Linked DNA regions of Tribolium castaneum. The protein of the gene in region 1 binds, or shares a complex with, the protein of each later gene. Links are inferred from orthologs where the notes say so. Each region holds a gene or a part of one and is shown in the gene's direction. Other genes may lie near its edges.

Evidence for each region. Proteins that work in one complex are often made in the same cells at the same time.
Region 2: the proteins of Dhdds (region 1) and Tango14 are in contact, whole or in part, in a crystal structure (PDB 7PAX), measured with the Homo sapiens proteins. The link is inferred for Tribolium castaneum from reciprocal best matches to the Homo sapiens genes DHDDS and NUS1. Residues at the interface, in NP_995583.1 of Homo sapiens: Arg37, Arg38, Glu81, Asn82, Lys84, Arg85, Arg159, His160, Ile162, Ser163, Val166, Arg167, Met169, Ala170, Trp171, Val173, Glu174, Pro180, Ser181, Ile183, Ser184, Glu185, Leu188, His199, Glu209, Val210, Arg211, Leu212, Ser213, Asp214; in NP_612468.1 of Homo sapiens: His137, Gln138, Pro193, Glu194, Lys197, Ala198, Ile200, Val201, Ala204, Gln205, Phe207, Cys208, Gln209, Val211, Ala212, Arg217, Pro218, Thr219, Leu221, Asp222, Val223, Leu226, Asp237, Pro246, Val247, Asp248, Ser249, Thr250, Leu251, Gly252.

Annotation. Positions count from the first base shown.
Region 1 is NC_087399.1:8,505,819-8,508,791, reverse strand, and holds Dhdds (dehydrodolichyl diphosphate synthase complex subunit DHDDS), read left to right. Parts: upstream 1-1,325; 5' UTR 1,326-1,576; coding exon 1,577-2,434; 3' UTR 2,435-2,453; downstream 2,454-2,973. Other genes in the region: rutC family protein UK114, read left to right, coding at 2,557-2,618, 2,666-2,973. UniProt on the Homo sapiens protein: With NUS1, forms the dehydrodolichyl diphosphate synthase (DDS) complex, an essential component of the dolichol monophosphate (Dol-P) biosynthetic machinery.
Region 2 is NC_087400.1:4,145,723-4,148,623, reverse strand, and holds Tango14 (dehydrodolichyl diphosphate synthase complex subunit Nus1), read left to right. Parts: upstream 1-1,334; 5' UTR 1,335-1,480; coding exon 1,481-1,757; intron 1,758-1,807; coding exon 1,808-2,238; 3' UTR 2,239-2,312; downstream 2,313-2,901. Other genes in the region: probable dimethyladenosine transferase, read left to right, coding at 146-727, 776-1,114; arginine/serine-rich protein PNISR, read right to left, coding at 2,435-2,676, 2,754-2,901. UniProt on the Homo sapiens protein: With DHDDS, forms the dehydrodolichyl diphosphate synthase (DDS) complex, an essential component of the dolichol monophosphate (Dol-P) biosynthetic machinery.

The DNA of each region.
Region 1 (2,973 bases):
CGCAAAAAAGAACCGGTCAGTATAAAAAGTAAAATGAGAGAACCGTAAATTATTATTAACGCGGATCAACATAACAATAAATGCACAGAAACGTAATCATTAGAAACGCACATTGAGAGAAAATTATCAAGACAGAATGTGTCAATTATTTTTTTAAATAAGATTGATAAAATTGTAAAATAGTTATTAACTTATTAATGATAATTCTTTTATTGGAAGTATAAATTACATTAGCTATTATTCTTTTAGAGTGCATAAATAAGTTTATATTAGTTAATTTTGAGAGAAAATGCGACGTTGCCGTTTTTATAGTTTTGAAACAGCTAATAAATTGTTACACTGTGCAAGAAAACATTTTACTGTCGGAGCTTATTTCCGAATTGGAAACTTATTAAATGGAGAATAAATGGTGTTTAAATGCTTGTCATTAATTAATTCTACAAAACGACATTTCTGATAATACATGGAAAATTCACAGACGACTAGATGAGAATAATTGAAAAACATATTGTACTATTTTGTACTACAGTTTGTACTATAATGACAAAATATAACAGTAAATCCTGAAAACTCAAATGTAAAACAAACTATAAAATGTTTATTTATTTCATTTTTAGCTATTTTATTGTAGACTAATAAGACCGATTACATTTTAGAATGTTTTTTTATGATCCTTTTTAAAAAATATAGCGATTAAACTATGGTTACATGATTCTATCAAAAATATATAGGAAATAACTTATAGAAAAAAAAGACCCCATTATAGCAAGTACCATTCGTCAAAATTATAATGAAAATATTAATAATATGTGTTACTAATAATGACATTTGTTGATTTTAGTAATGATTTCGATAGCTTGTTTTGAAATTGTAAGAAGAAAATAAAAAAATTATTAATCAGTATTTTATTTGTTTTAGATATTATGCTATTGTGATAAAAATGGCATCAGACCAAATTTTTTATATTTACAAGTCACTTTTTAATTTTTATTCACAATTTCCATTTTTATTTTAAATTTTTTAATTTATTTTATAAATATAATTGTAAATATGAATATAAATATAAAATATAATTATAAATAAATAAATAATAATTTTTTTTTGGATCAATACTGTTCTGTTTTTAATATTTTTGTTTATGATGTCTCTAGATTTGACAGATTCTGCCTGTGAATGTTTCTGGAGATAGACTCTTTTGTCAGTGTTTTCTGTTGATGACTTCTAGACGTGATTTACAATAATACTACAATAATCACACAAAAAATCAAAACATACAGAAACATCAATTTTCTTGTGTCACGCGCTATTGTGTAATAATTATTAGTCTATTTTTTCTAATAAATAATCGGAATTTTGGCAGTTTGTTATCACGTGACCGGTGGCTAGAGTTACATAACATGGGCCACAATTTCGTCAAAATCATTAAAATTATCAACGGAAAGTGTAAAAATTGTTAAAAACAAGTATTTCGTAATATATTAAGTCGTAAATGACCCCCTGCGAATCGCTGATTAAGAAGGTCAGGTCAATCCGTAGTCACTTCCGACCACCTGTCACCCTTTGAGGTTATATTGTCATGTCGTGGATTGTGAGCTCCTCCCTGACTTATTTCCAGCGTTTTTGCGTGAATGTGATAAAATGCGGTCCCATTCCGCGGCACATCGCCTTCATAATGGACGGCAACCGGCGCTACGCCACCAAAACCAAAGTCGAAAAGGCCGAAGGCCACATCAAAGGTTTCGATAAACTGGCGGAGACCCTGCAATGGTGTCTCGAATTGGGGGTCAAGGAAGTGACCGTCTACGCCTTCAGTATCGAGAATTTTAAGCGGAGTCGCGAGGAAGTCGATACTTTGATGAAACTAGCGACGGAAAAGTTCCGACAATTGCTGGACGAAAAAGAGAAGATTATGAGCGAGGGGGTGTGCATTCGGATTATTGGCAACTTGGGGCTGCTTTCCCCCGAGTTGCGGAAACTAGTAGCGGAAGCTGAGTTAATGACGAAGGACAACAACAAGGCGTTTCTCAACGTGGCTTTTTCGTACACTTCTAGGGACGAAATTTTTAATACGGTGCAAAGTATAGTCAAGGGGGTGCAAGACGAGGCGTTGGACGTGGAGGACATTGACGAAGACTTGATCTCGGGGGCCCTGTATACGAGTTGTAGCCCTGACCCCGACCTGATAGTGCGCACTTCAGGGGAAGTGCGATTCAGTGATTTCCTCTTGTGGCAAATTTCAAACAGTTTTATCAGTTTTACAAAAGTTTTGTGGCCGGAATTTTGCATTTGGCACTTGCTGGCGTGCATTTTTTACTACCAAAGGTCTTACAACGACTTACAACAAAAAAAAGCCCGTGTGACAAGCGAGCGGGCCCAGAAGTTTTTACACCAATTGCAACAGCAAAAAATTACGCAACTGAAAAGTTACACATGAATAAATTATTTCGTTATTATTTAATAGTTTCATTTCCACGTGACTAATTATCTCAAATATAATATAAACAAACCGATAATAAGCCGTCTCGTGTCAGTCGCTCGCTAGACTTTGAACCGAAAATGTCTGTCATCCGCAAAATAATCAGCACGAACAAGGCCCCAAAACCGGTGGCCCCTTACAAGTAAGTTAAATTATTAAAGTCAGGGAAAAATTAACACAAAATTCCAGCCAGGCCGTCCTCTTGGATAAAACCTTGTACGTGTCGGGGGTTTTGGGGTTGAATAAAGACACCATGAAGCTGGTGGATGGGGGCGCGGGGGCTGAGGCCCGCCAAGCCTTGCAATCCCTCGGCCACATCCTGGAAGAAGCCGGTTCTTCCTTCGAAAAGGTGGCAAAAACCACAATCTTCCTCAATAACATTGATGATTTCGGGGCTGTTAACGACGTTTACAAAGACTTCTTTACCAAGAATCACCCAGCGAGGTCTACTTTCCAGGTCGGCAAATTGCCAATGGGGGCCAAAGTCGAGATCGAAG
Region 2 (2,901 bases), on another chromosome or scaffold:
AAAATTCCTGAATAAACCCATATTTTGATTTTTGAACGTTTTGAATACATTTAGTGACATAATTTGGAGTACCCTTTGTGTCTCTTGAGTGCAATTTTAAAGTTTAATTTGTGTGACCACATGTCAGTGTCACAGTAACCTCAAAATGCCAAAAGTGAAACCGGAGAAAAAATCGCGTATTCACGCCGCTGTGGCCAAACAAGGCATCACATTCAACAAGTCCTTCGGTCAGCACATCCTCAAGAACCCCCTTGTCATAACCTCAATGTTGGACAAGGCGGCCCTTAAGCCCTCCGACACCGTCCTTGAAATAGGCCCTGGGACCGGAAACTTGACTTTAAAGCTCCTCGAAAGTGTTAAACAGGTTGTCGCGTGTGAAATTGACCATCGACTGGTGGCAGAATTGCAAAAAAGGGTCCAGAATAGCCCTTTCAAGTCCAAACTCCAAATCCTGATTGGGGACGTTTTGAAGACAGAATTGCCCTTTTTTAGCGTTTGCGTGGCTAATATCCCTTATCAAATCTCGTCACCTTTAGTGTTTAAGCTACTTTTGCACCGTCCGTTTTTTCGGTGTGCTGTTTTAATGTTTCAAAAGGAATTTGCCGATCGGCTAGTTGCCGTCCCTGGAGACAAGCTCTACTGTCGGTTGTCTATCAACACGCAGCTTCTGGCCCGTGTTGATATGTTGATGAAAGTGGGGAAAAATAATTTTAGGCCCCCACCAAAGGTTGGTATTAATTGGCAAATTGGGGTGGCAACATTGGTATTGTTTAAGGTTGAGTCGGCTGTGGTTAGAATTGAACCAAGGAATCCACCGCCACCTATTTCTTACACGGAGTGGGATGGACTTACAAGAATCGCATTTTCGCGGAAAAATAAAACTTTGGGAGCTGCTTTTAGACAATCGGTGGTCTTGGCAACGCTTGAGAAGAATTACAAGTCGTTTTGTAGTGTTAATAATAAAGAAATACCCCCCGGTTTTAATATTAAGGAAAAAGTGGAGCAAGTCTTGAAACAAGTAGAAGGGGACCAAAAGCGGGCCCGCACAATGGACATTGATGATTTTATGGTGTTATTGCATGCTTTTAATAGTGAAGGAATACATTTTTCATGAAATAAAGTTTTTTATTCCTTTTATTATTGGTGTCGGTAAAGCAGGAATTGTGCGTTACAGATTTCTGTTCTCCCCATCATCAACTTCATGTAAATTAATTGATAATTGCGGTCGTAAAAATGCAAAATGAAACAAAAGCGCACTTAAATAAAATAATATGGGTCGTAATTTTTGAATTTTTTTGTTCCATTTGATTAAATCGTGACGTCAGTGTTGCCACCACCCACTCCACCTGTCAAACCAAACGTCAAAAAGTGGTGGGGCACTTTTTATGACACCGTGTCTCATGTTCTTTAATCTCGCACTCACTGAGATTTAAAAAAATCCTTAAAACGTGCTATTATGTGAATAAAAATCTGTGTAAAAATGGACCAAAAGTCCCCGTCTGTGATCCACCGCGCGTGTTACCTAACCTTGAACGTGATTTACACAATTTACGAAATAATTGCATCAATTTTTCGTCAGAAACTCCTCATTTTTCTGTGTCACGAGATCGACAGCCGCCCCAAAAAAATCACCAAAGTCCCTACACATCTAACCGTGTTGCTTGGCAACGAAGAGCCGGCTGTGAAAGACTTGGCCAACTTGATTTTGTGGTGTTTGTCGGCTCGGATCACATTTATCAGTTTCTACGATTATAAAGGTTCGATATTGTTATCTCAGTTAGTTGATAAGCACAAAGGTCGGTTTTAGGGTCGTTACGGCAATGCGAAGACAAGTTACGTCAACTTGTCGAAGAGAAAAAAAATGAAGAGGATCACGTGATTTGGCACAGCCGGCCTGACTTTGTCCATAAAAATGGCTACAAAGGGCGCAAAATTCACGTCAAACTGTTGGGGGAGGAAGACGGCCGTGGAACCATAGCCAACGTTACGAAAACACTCGCCAGTGCTGCCAACAGTGATTTGTTACAGTTTGAAACTGAACTTTTAAAACAGTTTGAGTTCCCTGACCCCGACTTGGGGGTGTGTTGTGGCAAAACTTTCAGTTTGTACGGTTACCCACCCTGGCAAATTCGAGTGACTGAATTTCTTACCTTGCAAACGCACCACAACATCACACTTGAGACTTTTATTCATTTGTTATATCGGTTTAATAAGTGTGAACAGAGATATGGCAAGTAAAATTGTAATAATTAAGGTGCAAAACTATTTATAAAACTGTCGGTTACCGACACTCAATAAAACAATAAATAAGGCTCGCAGATATTTATTCAGCAAATGAAAATCGTTACATTCACTTAAAACCTCAACTAAACACTTTAATAATTATTGCTAGGAAGACACTTATATACATAAAACAAAACAAAATCGAAACACTTCAGCGCCGGCGCGACCTCTTACCCCTACCACCACTCCGTGACCTTGACCGTCGGCTGCGCCGGTGGGACCTGGACCTGGACCTCGACCTCCGCCTCCGATACGAAGACGACCTTGACCTCGACCTACTTCTTCGAGAGTAGCGTTTTTTACGTCGGCTTTTTTCGGGTGTTGTCGACCGACTTCGCGACGAACTCGACGAAGATGAACGAACAACACGTTTTTTCGTCGTTTGTTTCCGTCCTGTGAACACCACATTAACAAAAACACAAAGTAGGCACGTGTAATTGTGCCGATAGTGTTTTGTTTCAATTACTGACCTTGAGATTTTGCGTCTACCTGTGTGTTGTGATTATCGTTTGTTTTTTCAGGAGTGGGGGAACGTGTGACCGGTGATTGTTTTCTTTCAGCAGCCACGGCCAACTTGTCCTCGATTTCGCGTTCGGTTTTACTGAATTCGGCTTTTTT